Caenorhabditis elegans: one gene and its partners. The protein of the gene in region 1 interacts with the protein of each later gene in a pairwise test. Each region holds a gene or a part of one and is shown in the gene's direction. Other genes may lie near its edges.

The links.
Region 2: the proteins of nhr-114 (region 1) and hnd-1 interact in a two-hybrid assay, tested with the Caenorhabditis elegans proteins (one large-scale study listed by BioGRID).
Region 3: the proteins of nhr-114 (region 1) and hda-11 interact in a two-hybrid assay, tested with the Caenorhabditis elegans proteins (one large-scale study listed by BioGRID).

What each region holds. Positions count from the first base shown.
Region 1 is NC_003283.11:4,184,263-4,191,102, forward strand, and holds nhr-114 (Nuclear hormone receptor 114), read left to right. Parts: upstream 1-2,940; 5' UTR 2,941-2,946; coding exon 2,947-3,130; intron 3,131-3,344; coding exon 3,345-3,547; intron 3,548-3,745; coding exon 3,746-4,084; intron 4,085-4,139; coding exon 4,140-4,270; intron 4,271-4,346; coding exon 4,347-4,468; intron 4,469-4,520; coding exon 4,521-4,635; exon of another isoform or gene 4,636-4,748; intron 4,749-5,439; coding exon 5,440-5,602; 3' UTR 5,603-5,742; downstream 5,743-6,840. Other genes in the region: Y45G5AM.9 (Aftiphilin clathrin-binding box domain-containing protein), read right to left, coding at 238-813, 5,754-5,885. UniProt on the Caenorhabditis elegans protein: Probable transcription factor which may have a role in detoxifying dietary metabolites arising from bacterial tryptophan metabolism.
Region 2 is NC_003284.9:11,681,926-11,687,011, forward strand, and holds hnd-1 (Hand transcription factor 1), read left to right. Parts: upstream 1-2,635; 5' UTR 2,636-2,801; coding exon 2,802-2,944; intron 2,945-3,001; coding exon 3,002-3,116; intron 3,117-3,250; coding exon 3,251-3,446; intron 3,447-3,493; coding exon 3,494-3,720; 3' UTR 3,721-3,863; downstream 3,864-5,086. Other genes in the region: C44C10.7 (Protein kinase domain-containing protein), read right to left, coding at 5,075-5,086. UniProt on the Caenorhabditis elegans protein: Probable transcription factor which regulates early embryonic myogenesis, in cooperation with transcription factors unc-120 and hlh-1.
Region 3 is NC_003283.11:10,523,421-10,529,667, forward strand, and holds hda-11 (Histone deacetylase 11), read left to right. Parts: upstream 1-2,763; 5' UTR 2,764-2,889; coding exon 2,890-2,900; intron 2,901-2,968; coding exon 2,969-3,193; intron 3,194-3,390; coding exon 3,391-3,501; intron 3,502-3,547; coding exon 3,548-3,639; intron 3,640-3,705; coding exon 3,706-3,818; intron 3,819-4,374; coding exon 4,375-4,529; intron 4,530-4,577; coding exon 4,578-4,716; intron 4,717-4,817; coding exon 4,818-4,976; 3' UTR 4,977-5,024; downstream 5,025-6,247. Other genes in the region: xpo-7 (Exportin-7), read right to left, coding at 1-3, 49-116, 159-813, 863-1,324, 1,375-2,202, 2,252-2,389, 2,436-2,450; F25D1.3 (Interleukin-17), read left to right, coding at 5,344-5,475.

The sequences.
Region 1 (6,840 bases):
TTTCTCGAATTAAATTTAAACAAATTTTTTTGTCGTGTCGGGACCTCGGAACAATTATAATAATTTTCTAGATGGAAATATCGAGACTGAAAATGATTTGGGGGAATTTATGTTTAAAAAAATAATTTTTCTTTTAATTAATTAAATATTTAATTAACTGTTATTTATTTAATTAATTAAATTTAAATTTAAATTTATATAACTTTTTTCATCGAAATTTTTAGAAAAAAAACTCACCGGGTTAATTTTCAATGATTTTAGATGATTTTTTCGAATTTCCGAGTTATTCCAATCAAATTTCAGTGAGATCGCCTCTTCGACAAGACGCAGAGATAACCATAATCGTGAATCTCGTTGCCTTTCCACTTCAAAGCTATTCACCATTTCTACAAGATTCTCCGAATCGAAAAGAGCCGGAATATCGACTACATCCATTTCAGGTGACTCCTCTTCTTCACGACATTCTTCTTGAAATCCGTCATGCCAAAATTCGACATTCTCGAGCATTTCATCCAGGAGCTCCAAATTTTCTAGTACAGTATCCGAAGGTGGTGGTGGAACATCCGAAGCTGAACTGAATTCAGCTTGCCATTCATCACCATTTGCTTTCAAATCGTTCGAATTCTCAAATGCTCCCCATTCATCCAGCGATTGTTGGTGGCGCGCTTCCTGAGATCGAGACGAATTCGGGCTACTTTCAGTCCGATCTGTTGAAGGCCGAGCCTGATCAAATGCTCCCCAATCGTCATCATCATCGTCGTCTTCGTTATTGAAACCATCCATTTTCAACGATGGAGGCGGCGATTGAGGTCTCTGAAAAAGGAAACATATTTTGGTCGAAACTTTCATTTTGGATATGAAATTTTGTTTTAAAAAGTTGCACGTGGGGTCAGAAAGTCCCATTTCGCTTTGATCTACAAAAAATGCGGGAGGTGAGACGCAGACATCTCAACTGATTTCGCATGGTTAAGAGTGTGCTGACGTCACAATTTTTCTGGGAAAAAAATCGCGCATTTTTTGTAGATCAAACCGCAATGAGACTTTCTGACACTACGTGAAGTTGGATTTTTGCAATCTTCCGCGATTTTTTTTTCATTTTGTTTGTGATTTTTTAAAGAAATTTAGGACAATTTTGGATTTTTGCAAAAAGTCGCTTTGAAGTCTGAATAAAAGCATTTTCGGCGTATCCTGCGCGCATGGGTCTCGCCACGCTGACATCGAAAAAAAAAATTCTGAGAATGCTGCGTATTGTGCAACACATTTGCCGCGCAAAATATCTCGCAGCGAAAAAGAAAACTACAGTAATCGTTTAAATGGCTACTGTAGTGCTTTTGTGTCGATTTACGGGAGATCGATTCTTTAATTAAATTCTTCTTTTCAAATATTACCGGTACAGAGAGTGTAGATAGTTGAATGGACACAGACATTCCGGAACCCAAGGGGCGGGGCGCGGGAAGAGACGATTTTTGTCGATTTACGGAGTGTTTTTATTCACAAACTCTCCGTAAATCCATACAAATCGGCTCTTCCCGCAACCTTGGGTTCCGGAATATCTGTGTCCATTCAACTTTCCTCATTCTCTGGACCGGCAATATTCGAAAAGAAGAATTCATTTCAAAAATCGAGCTCGTAAATCGACACAGAAGCACTACAGAAGTCATTTAAACGATTACTGTAGTCTTCTTTTTCGCTACGAGATGTTTTGCGCGTCAAATATGTTATGCAATACGCATTCTCAGAATTTTTTGTACAAATATTGATGTTTTTATTTTAATCATAAGATGGTTAAATTTACCAACAACTAATTCTTAAATTGATTAGCACTTATCAGTGTCTTATCAGCAATCAAATGACCAAAACATCTAATAGGACGAATTTTCGCCTATTTCTCAGCAACTAACAATGCAACTTTCTCATTCTTCATGTCTCCTGTATCATAGACAAATTGATTAGCTCACGTAGTGCCAGACGGTCCCATTACGGTTTGATCTACAAAAAATGCGGAAATTTTCGCCCAAAAAAATGTGTGACGTCAGTACGTTTTTAACCATCCGAAAACAGTTGAGAACTCTGCGTTTCTTCTCACCCGCATTTTTTGTAGATCAACGTAGATCAATCCAAAATGAGACACTCTGCCACCACGTGTAGCTTCTTCTTCTGCTGCTGCTGCTACAGTCTGTGTGTACAAAAGTCTTCTCACATAGTAGGTAGGTGCAGACTTCTTTCTTTATCAAATCTTCCCTTCTTCAACATTACATGGCGTGGTTTTCTCGTGGCATTTTCCAAGAGAGGCTCCACCCCCCCCCCCCCCCCCATCGCATGTACTTTGTTCATTGGTCAAGAAGAATCGTATATAACGGGCAGCGATAACGTCCCAAATCTTTGTCGTATGACGACGGGGACGATCGGAAATTGAGAGGAGGAGGGGGTAGTGTGAAAAATACATGAGGACGCGATGAAGCTGCTGGTCAGCAGCAGGCCCCAAGCCACTGTGTTTTATTGCAAGACAGTTCGATCTTCACGTTGATATCAGACATATATAGAATATACATCTCAAGGTCTTCTATTCTCATTTCTTAGGCAGCCTGTTAATATGTTGATAATGAACAATCATTTGACCGCCCGTTTTTCCGAGTCACTTCATCAAGGACTTGATTTCTTTCCAAAAAAACTTCCAAAACCACCCAGCAAATCATTGTTTCAAAAAAAGTTTGCTCAAATGATTAGAAATCAAAAGTTCAAATGTTTTTTTGCAACAGCTGTCCCTAGCCTGTCTCACATCACAGTTCAATTGTTGTAGTTTACCTCTCCTCTTCTCCTTCATTTTATCTCTAAAACGCATCGATTCGGGGGCACTTTGCATTTGTTATCGTGTCTAGTGTCTCTTGGCATTATTCTCGTTGTCACAAAAAAAACCAATACAAACAAGGCGTATTTCAGGTCAAAATGACACCTCAATCGTCTCCGAGCTCGTCTCGTGATCACGTTTGTCTCGTTTGTCAAGATTTCGCTTCTGGCTACCATTATGGTGTCCCGTCATGTGTCGGATGCAAGACATTTTTCCGGCGAACAATTATGAAGAAACAAAAGTACATTTGCCAATTCGAGGGCAATTGTCCAGTTGATAAAAGTGAGTTATTTAGCACACTTGGTGTCAGGCTGTCCCATTTCGGTTTGATCTACAAGAAATGCGGGGATTTTTCGCCCAAAAAATGTGACGTCAGCACGTTCTTAACCATGCGGAATCAGTTCCGCAATTCTCGTAGATCAAAACGAAATGGGACACTCTGACACCACTTGTTAGCAGTAACAAGGAACTTATAAAAAATATTTCAAAAGTTCAGCTATCCGCTGTGCCTGCCGATACTGCCGATTCGAGAAATGTTTGAGCGTGGGAATGGACCGAAACGCCCTCCAACAAAACCGTGACCCTATCGGATACACAAAACGTACCAGGCGTCCAAAAAAAGAGCTGAAGACTACCTCGGACTGTTCAAGTGACGAAGGAGCAAGCACCCCACCATCAGTGTCTCCATTACAGCTATCGGTAATTAATTAGTCCAATTACGGTTTGATCTACAAAAAATGCGAGAATTTTTTTGCCCAAAAAATGTGTGACGTCAGCACGTTCTCAACCATGCAAAATCAGTTGAGAACTCTGCGTCTCTTTTCCCGCATTTTCTATAGATCTACGTAGATCAAGCCGAAATGAGAAACTCTGACACCACGTGATCCCAAATTACAGCCTCCACCAATCTCGCCACTCCTTTTCCAAGCTGCACCACTGAAACCTCGTCGCTGCATCCTACAAACTCTTGCCGAACGCGAAAAGTGTGCAAATGATCTCCGACTCTCCGAATATCTTCCAATCCGATCTCTCCACGAGGCTCTATGCTCAAAGGCTCTGCTGAACGACACGGCTTTTTTGGAAAAGTGGGGACAGCCGAGTGAGAGACATCAGATCTTCGATCTACGATTCGTCAATCACGACGACTACCACTATTGGCACGAGAGAGACTGGTTCTTGTTGACAGAGTATGCCAAAACATTCGATGTTTTTGAGGCGCTCGATTATCAAGATAAGGTTGGAAGAAAACCAGAAACATGTATAACGATTTAATTATTTCAATCCTTTCCAGGCCGAACTTGTTCGCCATGCCGCAATAACAGTCCCAGTCCTGGTTCAAGTCTGGAACTCCCCGGACTACGGACCAGACACAATTGTATTCCCAGATGGTGCCTACTTCGATCGTACTCCAGAGCCAACCCGGTAAGTTGTCGGTCACATATACTCCAAACCGAGCCCCAATTCCCGTCTCGTTCCGCGTTGTGTTCAATCGTTATAGGCCAGCCGGACTCAACAGGAAAAAGTATCAAATGTTGGATCTCGTGCTCAAGCCGTTCCGTGATCTACAGCTCGACGCAACCGAATTTGCAGCGTTCAAAGCGGTAACGTTTCTGAATCCAGGTCCGGGCGGAATCTCAATAAGAGCCAAACTTTCACTTTGATGCGATTCCAGACGCTGACATCTCTCTACCGGCTCGCAAGCTTGTGAACAACGAACGAGTCCGCATCACCAAGCAGTTATACGGCTACATGGCCATGAAAGACGACGTGGACACGGCAATCGAAAGGTTGGTGAAATCACGTTTTTCCTTCCTTTGATGCATTCATCTATTACTCGCTTGTCGATCAAATCAAACATTGATAGATCACAATTTGATGTGTCTTGTTGCGGACTAGCTAAGTAAGCTAAGTTGGAACACTTTGACCAAAATTTCGGTAAATTCTCTAAATTTTGCTAAATTTTCAAATTTTTGGTAAAATGCTAAAATTTTGGTAAATTCTCAACATTTTGGTAAAATGCTAAAATTTTGGAAAAATTCTCACAATTTTGGGAGGCACCACGGAAACGAGAACATGTGAAAAAGGAGAATTACGAAAAGGAGAACACAAAACCACGCCTATTTATCCGTGCCGAGCGCAAGTTTTTGCATAAACTTGTGCAAATTTTTATTTTCAAACGAGACAACGAAGATCCGAACTAACGAATTCGTGTGATAAACAACACGCGATACGTTCTTTCGGAGCTTCGCGTTATCTCGTTTGAAAATAAAAATTTGCACAAGTTTCTGCAAAAACTTGCGCGCGGCATGGAAAAATGGGCGTGGTTTTGTGTTCTCCTTTTCGTAATTCTCCTTTTTCACATGTTCTCCTTTCGGTGGTGCCTCCAAAAGTTTTGGCAATTTATTAAAAAATTGGCAATTTACCAAAATTTTAAGAATTTACCAAAATTTTGAACATTTCCCAAAATTTAGGCAATTTATCAAAAAATTGGCAATTTATTAAAATTTTGAGAATGTACCAAAAGTTCGGCAATTTACCAAAATTTTTAGCCCCCGGCACTGATAGATCACAATTTCATCCCCGTGTTGCAGATTCGCACGATTGGTTCTGATGGGAACGTCCATGTCAAAAATGGCGTGCGAATCGAAAGAGGCCGTGTGGATTGCAGACTTTTTCGAGAATATCGGCTTCTCGGCGTTTGCCCGGCAACTGTTTTTCGGTGATACGACGAGCGTTGTTGCTCACAAATTGTGAAGTGAATAAATTTAAATTTAATAAATTAATTTCCAGAAATATTTACACGCTTGAAAAAAAATCTCAATGCTAATCCTATTTATATACGTTTATTATTATTTTTTTTTTTTGGTATTTTTTTTGCAATAAAGTTTTAACTTTTTTTTCTTACCGCCTGAATTGGTGCAGCAGCAACAACGGCTTCTCCAAAATCTCCCCACTCATCGTCGTCATCGTCTTCTTCTTTCTGTATTTCCGAATTTTGAAATCCCGTAAATTCGTCCTGTGATAATGCAGTCGTCATCTGAAATTACGGGATTTTTGGGGTAAATTTTTGGCAAAATTAGTTCAATTTTTAGAACATTTTTTGACAAAAAAAATTGATTGCAAATTTTAATTTCAAAATGTTGCATTGCTATTTTAAAGTTGATTGAAGGTTTTTGTTCATAATTCAAAGCAGGGGTCGGGGGCAAACGATTTTTCCGGCAAATCGGCAAACTGACAATTTGTCGAAAATGACATTTTCTGGCAAATCGGCGAAATTGCCGGAATTGAAAATTTCCGGCAAATCGGAACACCGGCAATTTGCCGAAAACGAAAAATTCCGGCAAACCGGCAATTTCCCGAAAACGAAAAATTCCGGCAAACCGGCAATTTCCCGAAAACGAAAAATTCCGGCAAATCGGCAAAACCGGCAATTTTCCACAAATCAAAATTTCCGGCAAACCGGCAATTTACCGAAAATGAAAATTTCCGGCAAACCGGCAATTTGCCAAAAATGAAAATTTCCGGCAAACCGGCAATTTGCCAAAAATCAAAATTTCCGGTAAATCGGCAATTTGCCAAAAATGAAAATTTCCGGCAAACCGGCGATTTGCCAAAAATCAAAATTTCCGGCAAATCCGGATAGGGTTTTCTTCAATTTTTCATTTTGAAACATAATTTCACAATTTTTTTCGGAAATTTTTCCGAAGAAAAAGTTTTTCTACTGTTAAATTATTGATTTTCAGGCCAATTTTAGGATTTTCTTAACTGAAAAATTTCTGTAAAAAATCGAAAATGTCGAAAATGACGTCATTTGCGCGGGAACTTGCACAAAAAAATAATTCAACTCTTTCTACCTATTTTTTTGTTGCAAAACTGAAAAAGTATTTTTAATAAATGTAGGAAAATTCCATAAATTTTTAAACATTTATATTCGGTAATTTGACACTGTTTTATTTCATTTTGGGTACAAAAATGTTTTTTTAAATAGAAAA
Region 2 (5,086 bases), on another chromosome or scaffold:
TATTTTTTTGCAGCGGCTTTATGATAATGTTATTCTGAAGCTCTAGTTTGTGGACAAGATGCCCACAACTCTCGTTGTTCCTAATTTACCATATTATAAGAAATAGGAACAAATGTCGGCACCTACAAAACAGATTAACACTCCGGTGAACGATATGCCAATTATTGTAATCCAGATCATAATAGATTCAATGTTTACATTTTTGACGATGAGTAGAGGCACATGTTCCACAACTTTGCCGCAACAAGAATCATGACGTAATCAGATGTTATTTGGACGTATCCTTAATTGGATAATACCGTTTGTCTGTGTTGTTTTGCCGGCGGTTAAGCAAACAGTTGAACAAATTCTATGGGAAACAAAATAATTAAAACTGGCAGCTTACCAAAAAACTATACTAGAAATAATTATGTTAAATACGCTCGCAAGTTAGTTTTGAACAGTAGTGCTGCAAAATTAGGTCGGTGCTCGACCTCTGAATAGCTTAATTTTAAGCAGATCGCCTCAAAAATTGTTCAAAAATTTACATCTATGCTCAACAAAAATTTCAATTTTGCTGGCTTGTAAGTGGAACGGTGGTCGGAAATCAGAAATTTAATGTACTTTGTCTGCTCATTATATTACTGCGATACTAACAAATAAAAAAACCATATTGTAAAACTTTCAAGATCTCATGTATGCCTTAATTTTCATTAAAATCGTATAAATATTCACCCTTACATGAGAACTATCATAAAATATCTCTAACTTTAGTGTTTTATTCATTGTCAAAAATATTTAACCACATCATTTTGATGTATTTTCCATTTTCTCATGTTTTTGCTCTCACAAGATTAGTTGAGCAAACAAACACATCCTTGTCGAGAGGTGTTCTGAGTCTCATGAACTAATAAATCCTCCTCACCGGATAGTATTACCTGACACATTGCCAGACGGTTGCGTTTTACAACTACAAACGTAAAGTTTATGAGAGTTCCTTGAGCCTGGAGTCTTGAGCAATTGGTTCCCCCTCTCAGTTTTTGCTATAATTCAAAAGCGACTCAAACAAGTATTTGAATGTTTATTGACTGCTGTTATTCCGCCGTTTAATGATCAATACTAGCGGCAAATTTACGACCTGGTTGTAAACTTGATACACTGTTTGAAGATTTCCCAGGAGTCGAAGCGGATTTCTTTCAGTCATCCTAACGGGGCTAGATTTGAATGCAATCAACAGGTGCCGAGTAGCATATGACGGTTTATATTGCACCGTACTTGAAGTAGCGCGCGATGAGAGGGAAAAGGTTGCGCTCGTTTTGACGGCAGAGTTACGCAAAATACCGACTGACTGGAATTTGAGGCAAAAAGTTGTGCTATGGAAATTGAGTAGTGTAAACTGATAAAACCTTGCATAAATGTGATTAGTTTATATTAGATGATTTACTCGGTGTAACCGTATGTGAAATGTGAAATTGAAAGGAAAAACTGTACATATAGGTTTTTTTCCCCCAAAAAACGTTTTTGAAACATTTTTAACACTGAATATATCTACTTTTACTTCAGGATTTAGAAAATAACATAACTATGCCTAAAATTCCAAATAAACCACGTTACATTTCAAAAACTGCAAAAACTTTTTGATGTGAACGAAACCCATAAGTACCAAACATTCCATACAGGAACACCTTTCAAACCAGACTTGGATGCCTTTCTAGGTAGTTTTCATGGATTTTTCTTAGTACTGTTTTTTTTTTGAAAAGATTGCATAAGAAATACTTAGTACATATATTCCAAATTCGTGGGAAATTTTTAAGATAGAGACACCTACACAGATTGATTTCCAGTTTCATTATAAGGCGTTTTCTCTACTTAGCAAGATGTCAGAAAACAATGCTTGCTTTTATCAAATATAAATGTAGATAAGCATTTTTTGAAATAATGGAACACAATCAACAAATATTCACAACTAAATCCCTTAATTTCTGTGCATCAATAATGCCAATGTCTCTACCGTATGATATCAATTGGCTCACTCTGTAATCTAAACAAAGTGTAATTGAGTCCGGCACGGGTTTGTCGGCATCTTTTCGAAGAGGGGTGATTGCGCGAAAGCCGTGCGTCGGGATGCCCAGACAGGGCGGCAAGCGGCTAGTTTTTGATGGCGGGGGATGGTCCGGATGGGAACTCGTATACCGAGAATTCATAAACATTTGTAGACTGTATCTGAACTGTGATTTACTGTGTTGATACTAGTGGATTCTTTAGAAAAGTATCTTAAACTCAAAAAAAAACTTTCTTATAGTCATATTAACTTATGTAGCAATAGTATTTGAATAAATTTTATGACGTCAGATAATAAGTTTCAATAAACATCGCAGCACTAATTGTAAGTGAATAATCCTGTTACTTTATTTGAGAATATAAAAATTATACTTATATTTTTGCCTCAAACTCTGATGCCATGCATATTTCACGGATAACCCATATTAAAAAGTCAAATATCGGAAGTCTATTTTTTTGAACATTTTTGGATAACCATGTACATATACACATCATCAATTTTACAACCCCTTGCCATTCCAGTTTTACAGCCTGTCTTTATACAAAAAATCTCCACCTCAACATAAGTATAATGTCAACAACAAAAACATATTCCAGGCCGGATAGTAGTCTACACAGATCCTCCCACCATCGTGAACCTTTCCTGCCCGCATCTATCCTCCCTTGCGGGGTCTGTCTTCTTGCTCCGCCCACCCGTACCCATCTTGCGTACCTCATTCCTCCGATTCAAGTCAGTGATATATCGCTAGCTCATCTACAAAATGGTCAAATCAACAACTGCTGGAAACAATGCGGTTTCTTCATTAGAATCCACTGATTCCAAGAAGTCAAGAAAGGAAAAGTCTCGCGAGAAGGAGCATCGTCGTGCTCAATGTATCAACTCGGCCTTTGAGATTCTTCAGCAGTAAGTTGTTAACATTTCTTTTCCCTAAACAAATAGCTAACTTAATCTTATTTTCAGACATATTCCATACCTCAAATCGGAAGAGAGAAAGTCGCTGCCAAAGATCAAAACGCTTCGTCTTGCCATGCAGTACATTGATCATTTGAAAAAATTGCTGGGAGGAAATGAGATGGTATGTCGAATCATAATGTTTGTAACTGTAGTAATACTTTTTCGTACCATCAGTCAAAATGATCGTGTTTTGAATTATCTACTGTTTCAAATATCAAATTTCTTCAAATTCCTAACTCTTGTACGTTTTTTCAGCTCGAAACCGATTGCAACGAATCTCGCCCACTCACTCACTCAGATTTCCGTGTCAATATCTCGAATGAGATTAGAATTCGGAACAGTTACCGAGAGAGAGCCCACAATCAGGAGTTGGATGAAGCAACTGTGAAGAGAATTTTGGCTCGCGAAGATCAACGCCGTCGCTGCAGCTCAGTTCCGGAGGGAATACAAAGTAAGATCATAAAAATAGAGACATGGAAAAACAATTGAAATTTTCAGGATATACTCCTTACCAGAGCCGTCAATTCGGACCGATTTCGAACAATGTGTGCAACTTTCGCCACGTAGATGCTAACCAATACAACACCAACTTCATGGAATATCAAACACAAATGGTCCAGGTCGCCAACTTCCCAAATCAGTTCTCGCATGAGTATTACAACTATGGCACATTCCCAGTTATTGATCCAACTTCATTGGAGAACAGTAATCCAATTTTGCAATAACATTGTCTCATGTTATGTTACTCACGGTTTCCTTAATTGATCTCTATATTTCGACACGTTATTTGATTGCTCAACATAATTGTAAAGTCCGTTTCCGGCCATAAACTTTGTTATATTCAATAAATTTGTTACCTAATAAACAGTGCTCTTGAACGAACAAAAATGTTTATGTAATAAGATATTGTGATCCCTGGTGGCCTCTAATCCTACTTATATGGTGCCATGTGAGCCGTAGATGTGGAGGGGAAGGAAGTTGTGGGGAACTTGAACGGACAAAGTTATTTGATACACAAAGGTTATGTCCAGAAAGTCAAGATAATCGGTATTAAACTCTAATTTTTTATTTAAAAAAGTAGTGTTAGAAATATCAATGCACAAAGTATCATATTTTCAATAAACTTTGAAAGTAAAACTACTTCAAAGATTGCAAATTCCTCCTATAATTGAAAAATCATGCGTAGAAAATTACACAGAACAAAAACTGTGGGCCCAAGTTAAAATATTTCCTCTGGATCGCTAGACGCTAAAATTTTGCGAACTGTGTCACAACGGACGAAGTGTCACAACGGACGAACCTTTTTTTACTGAGTGGAATGTGTGGTTATGTTTCTTTTATAGACTAAAACTAGCCCAAAACGATTGAATTTCTTGGTTAGACTTCGCAAAAAAATTCAAAAACTGTTGTATGACGGATAAAAATTTCAAAACAAAACATCAAGTTTTGCTTAAATCTGAAATTTCGTCAAGTTTTATTTGTCGCGAAAATGAACAAAATTGAATGCTTATTGGCTTGGAGGTTGTAACATCAACAAATTTAGTTGAGATAAAAAACTAAAATATGCATTAAAGGGTGATAAGTTATCTCTGCTGCTACTGTTGCAAAGAAGAAAATTCAATTCAGCAACATTTGGCTCTTTTTTTTCAAAATGTTGACCCGCCATAAAACATTTTTCTAAATTTTATTATTCGTTGATTCAGTACATTATTGTATCATATTTGTGAACCCATTGACTGAAAAAGTACATAAATAATCAAATCCGGTAGGTCATTTTATTCTGAAAAAGCACAACCTCAAATTTCCATAATCCTTGAAAATTTTGTAAAACGTAGGAAGAACTGGGGTAAAATATTTCGCGGTGATTTTTTCATATTTATTACAGTTTTAGCAGACCCTATGCTGGTAATTTCTAGGTAAGTGCCGAGCGGTTTGTATTCTTCAATTAAAAAAACATTTCAATTTTACGATATTCTTTCAATTCAATTCATAGACAAGGAGACATAAACAAGAATACATGTTGACAAGTAGGCATAGACAATCAATCGAGCATAGACATAAATAGTTGTCTAATTTAAACTAAAACACACG
Region 3 (6,247 bases), 6.3 Mb from region 1:
TTTCTGTAAAAAGTTTGTTTTAGTTTTGAAAACGTTCATTTTTATAACCTTTAATTGTTCTTCTTCAACTCCTTGGCAATTATTCTGGATCACAGTGCAAATTCCTTCAACTGTATCTGAAAAAAGTACATTTGAAAATCAATTGGAATTGAATCTACCTGTAAGAGGACGAAGGAATCTTTGAAGCATTTCCTCGTCGTCCGAATAATCCGTTGTTAAAAGACGCGTTAGTGCTTCGTAAAACGTCGTTCGCTGTTTCATTGTTTGATAATCAATATTTGGACCAAGAAACATGAAATGATCGGCAGTGTGATTGTTCAATAGAAGCTGAACTTCTGGTAAACGGAATAACTTTCGAACTGCAGAATATCCAAGCGATAAATCCTTGAACAAAGATAGGGAAAGATCCAAGAGATCAGAGTTGGACGGCCAGAATTTCAGATTTGTGAGAATCTTTTGTACAATAACACCTAGCATGTCAGACTCTTCCGTAATACGCAGTTCTGCTTCAAGTGTGTCGTAGACTGCACTGGCTCGAGTGATTTGATCCATGATATACGCACGACGGAATTGCTCAAGCATGTGAATAAATGAAACTTCCAGTCGAAGATTTCCTTTCAGTGGAACTGTATTATTTGACAACTGAAGCCGATTATCATTGAATCTCATAACTGTTATACATCGGGCAATGAGTTCTCCGTCCATTTTATCGTGAACATCACTGCTTGTTGCTGTCGTCTTTCCGAACACAGCAGTTCCGATCAATGTAATCAACCAAACGAGACGACCTTCGGCAATCGCTGTATTGGCATCCTGTAAATACAAATTATAAGTTTCAAAAAAAAACAACTAAGTGTCTTACATTTTCAGATCCATTCATCCAGATGTTGGCATTTTGATCAAAGTGTTGAGTGAGAAGTTTACATGTGTTTTCATATTCGCATCTACATATAATCGCAAGATGTTCCATAACTTGAAGGGTTGCTCCTTGATCATCTAATGGATTCTCAGCTCCTTCTCTGACAATGCTCTCAACGTGTTGTAATCGACTCTCGACGAATGCTGTCATGATTTCTGGACAATAAACGTTGAGAAGATGCTCATCATTATTTCGAACATATGGAACAGACGTCACCATTCTCTGCCAGAATGTCATAAGAAAATATGTACTGTTGGCTGAGAACTCCATCATTCGTAGGCTTTGTACAGTGAATTCCGCGAGTAACCTTAGCATGTGACTGTAGCAGGGAACAGCGATGAGCTCGCACAGCTGATAATTTGTTTTCAGACGAGCAATCAAACGGCAAAACTCGTGGAATGCGGCCTAAATCAGGTATATAAATATGTTTGCCTTTAATTTTTCATTATTCTTACCTGGTCACTAAGCTTCCCAGGGTTCATAATTACACTGACAACTCCTTCAACAAGTTTTTGAACGTAAGCCTGTCGCTCTGTTCCATTGAAAAGCGTTCTTCGAATACTTGCCAATTGAGCTATTATTGTCATCACTTTTTCACTTGATTCTTGTGGAAGCACATTTAAAAGTTTGAACATAAGCTGTACAATTTTTCCATCAGTAAAACTTGCTCTCCATGCTGTTGGGATTTGCACATTACAGTTGTCTTCACTTGTTTCGTCTGTCAAACTTCCTATATAATCAAAAAGTAGACATTGGAGATTCAAGTTGAGAACCGCGTGAAGAAGACCCAATTGGCGATCGTTCAGATTTCTGTCCACATTATCGTTCAAAACATTCAGAGATACCGAGAAAATCTCATATAAAAAATCGTCCCTGAACTGCGAAAGATTCTTGCGATGTTTGTTAACTGAATCCATTCCCGAAGCTGAATTCATGTCAGCAACGAGTAAGGTTAACAGTTGCACGGCCAGCATACTTTCCTCGATATTATCCATGTTGATTGTTTTGACAAGGCTATCAACCGGATCACGAAATGGATATTCAATTTTTGTGTCTTCTGTTTGATTTTCTGTGGGATTTTGATACGTCCATTCTTGTTTCGTGAGTCTTGCAAAAAGTTGGCAAAGTGATGTGACGAGATATGGAGGAAATTGAGGTGCACCTTGACCTAGCATTTCCAATAAATATTTTGCAAGCTCGAGCTTCTGAACAGAAGTGATGCTAGTTTTTCCGCCGAGAAGTTTCATTAGTGTGGTGCTTGCTACCATTGGTCCGTATGGGTACTGAAAATCATTATGTAAATTGTTTAACACTTTTATTATTTCGACTTACATCTCCTCGTGCAAAGAGAAGCATGCATCTTTGAAGGCATTCGGGTGACTCTGACAGTTCCGCAAGGTTACTCTCGGCTCGGTGTCGGGCTTGCGGATCGACACTCTCATATAGATCTTTGCATAGACTGTTTAGTACCTAAAATAAGATTAGAATGCACATTAAGAATTTTGAAAATGCTAACCGGTAATTCATCCATTTTTGAAGACTTCGAATCCGCTGTTCAGCGATTCACTCCTAAAATATCCAATTCAGAAGTAATTATAGCTTGAGAAAGAGGAGAAAAATGTTTTGAAAAGCAAAAAGAATGTTTAAAACGGATAAAATTAATTCGGCGTCTTCCCACCGTTAATTGTTTCGAAAAACTGCAAACTTTGGTGATGATTTGAGTTTCTGAAAGACGAAACATCTTGTCCTGGTGAAGTACACGGCGGATGGCCGATAAAAAAGTTAGGCCATCCTTTCTCATCCTACTCTACATCCCACAGGCTCTCTCGCCACAATTGGCATCTTTTGGCAGTTTCCACTATTTTCAGAATTCGTTATCTGTTTTCTGATAACAAAAACAAGAAAAACAGAATCTTTACGACTACTTCTTTATTTATCCGCTCTAACCACTCATTCTACGCAGATTTTGAATGGCAGAGCGGTGAGTTTTGAAATTTAATCTGTAGTACAACATGCAGTTGGAAATGCCAAAAATATCAATAATTTCAGAGATAAAGATGAAATCTTTAGTTTAAAAAGTTATCAACGTCCAATTGTCTATCATTCTGAATATAATGTAACTGCATTTGGAATCGAACATTTACATCCATTTGATTCTTCGAAATGGAGAAGAGTCATTACACATTTGAAAGAAATGAATCTGATCACTGATGAAACACTCGTTGAGCCAAATCTACCGACATTTGAAGAACTCACTAGAGTACATGATAGAAAGTAGGCACATGAAAGTGTTGTGAATGTGATTGAATCGTGGAATTGGTTTATGAAAAAATCATGTTTGTATGGCCCCATACTTAAATTGAAAGAAAATAATTAAGCTCATAACGTTTATAGTTGACATTCTAAAAAAAAGTTAGATGAGGCGTTCAACAATTTCAACTAATAAAAAAAATTTATTCATATTATTTTAGATATCTGAAAAGTGTTCGAAATCCTATTAAAGCAGCACAAATCGTCGAGATTCCATTTGTCGGTTGCCTTCCACCGTGCATTATTGAAAGCAAGTTATTGCATCCACTACGGTATCATTCCTAGTAATTGTTGTATTCATTTATTTGTGTTTTCCAGTTTACAAGCCGGTGGAACAGTTTTAGCTGCCAATTTGGCTCTAAAACATGGTTGGGCGATCAACGTGGGTGGTGGTTTCCATCATGCTTCTCGTATGTTTTTGTTATTCCGCAAGAAAAATAGACGCTATGGGATTGTACAGCAGCCTATAATTTCAGATTCGGGCGGAGGTGGATTCTGTTTTTACGCTGATATCACCATGGCAATTTTCGATTTGTTTGACAAAAAGGCAATTGCCAACGCGATTGTTGTAGATTTAGATGCTCATCAGGTACTGGAAAAAACATTTGAAAGAATATAAAATACCGTATATTTTCTATTGATGCGTGCGGCACCTTCACTGCTCAACTTTGACAGCATATAACTCAAAGGAACACGTGTAGTCAGAAAATCCCATTCCGCTTTGATCTTCGAAAAATGCGGGAGTTGAGACGCAGACATCTCATTTGATTTGGAATGGTTAAGAACGTGCTGACGTCACAATTTTTCTGGGAAAAAGTCCCGCATGTTTTGTAGATCAAACCGCAATGAGACAGTCTGACATCACATGAAGGAAGTATTTTGCCTAAAATCATAGATGGCCGATATCTGAGCTTTCAAAGTTAGAATTGTCCTCAAATTTTAGCTACCTTACAGTTACGTTAAGAATTCTATAGACTACGGTATCATTTTGGAAAACCATTTGGAACGTGAATGAAATATGTCTAGCCCGTAAAGATATTTCTCAAATATTAGATATTAATTCGAAATATTAATCACAATATTAATTGTTTAAAAAAATTATTAAAATTTAAGAATCCAATTTTTTGCTTGAATCATACTTTAAGGGAAATGGCCATGCACGAGACTTTGCTGACAATCCGAATGTGTTTGTATTTGATGTTTTCAATCCATATGTCTATCCACATGATCGTGAAGCTCGTCAATTTATTAACAGAGCGGTTCATGTAAATGGTCATACGACTGATACTTCCTACCTCTCGTAAGTATTCATAGCGGCTTTCTGCTTTCACTGACCGACTTTATTTAGCGAATTACGCAAACAACTGGCACAGTGTTTAATTGATAGAGAGAAAACTACTCCTCCTGGTTTCGATTTCATTATGTTCAACGCTGGCACAGACTGTCTACTTGGTGATCCTCTGGGAGCAATGAAATTGAGTCCACAGGTGTGTGAAAGCAAGGAATATTGTTATACGAGTTTGGTATTTGGTGTATAGTCTATTTTGAAATAAGATGTTGCATATTTTTTTGAAAATCAAATTTTCAGTGCATAATTGCTCGAGACGAAGTTGTGTTCAATCTAGCAAAATCAAAAGGAATTCCAATTTGCATGGTAACCAGTGGAGGGTATCAGAAGGACAACGCGCTTCTCATTGCAAAATCAATTGAAAATCTCCAGTCAAAGAATCTCATCAGTATCAAATAAAAAAGTTATATCAGCATATCTTTTCCTTATAAATTATTTTTTATTAAACTATTTTTTATTGTTTAATGGCAGGGGAAACTAAATAGATAGAAGGATCAAGTTCAAAATTTCATTTTAAAATCGAATGGATGATTTTGAAACATTCTATATCAACCCGATTCCATTAAAAATAAAACAATCCAAAATAATACAAAGTACTCTGAATATGAACTTTTCCTAAAACTTTCAATTTTTATGAATCCTCGACTCCTCCCAAATTTTCACTTTATGTGGATGTCACTAGGTCATCATCGGGTAAAGGGTCACACAGAGAGACACAGTCATTTCTCGCCTATATCTTTTATTTGATTCTTCTGTCGATTGCGACATGATTTGCTTCCGTACAGCTTTCATTTTAATTCTTGGAGTAGTGATAGGCACGACAGCAAAACGACACAATGTTCGAAGGCATGTCAATGGTAAATGGACTGATAAACATTGTGAAGAACCACCTAGTTTGGTTAGTTTTTGTTTTTTTAATTGAGAGTAAATAGTTTCACTAGCATGTTCTGGATATTGTTAGATATTTTTACATAGATTTATTCAATAAGTGTGTAAATATGCGTGAAAAATGGATGAAAGTATAACCCAAGTGTAAGTTTAGGAAAATCTCGAAAATCGGCCAAAAAGTCATATAGATATTCATGTTTATCCCCCATCAGTCTAAAATGACCAAATATAAAAATTGAAGTTTACAGAAAATTGTTAAACTTTAAAAAAAATTCAATTAACTTCTTGGTAAATTGCCAAATTTTCAACACAAACAAGAACTGGACTATTTGAGAAATTCGGAACAGTGCTTTCAACCTATACAATGTTTAAGTAAAATAAATTTAAACGTGATTAAAATAATCCAATATTATTTTTCGGTGAACTTCCAAAATTATGAAAAATGAAATCTGAGTAATTGCTACCCTTCAATTGTAATTTTAAACATTTTTTTAAAAAATGGTTTCAGAAGTTACTATAATATTTGGTCACAGCACAACAAAAGTGATTTTTAACAACTTCTTCAATATCACTTCGGTTGTAACATAGTATTTAATAAAAAAACATTTTTTCTTAAACATTTAATTAAACCGATACCTGATTATGTGTTTACAGCTGAACACAAAACAATAAACTAAAAGTAAACAGTTTTTAATGAATAAAAATTTTTTGATTGACCCGTCACAAATTATATCGCAACAAAAAAATGAATAGAAAGTTCAATGCCCTTTTCAAACCGTGTT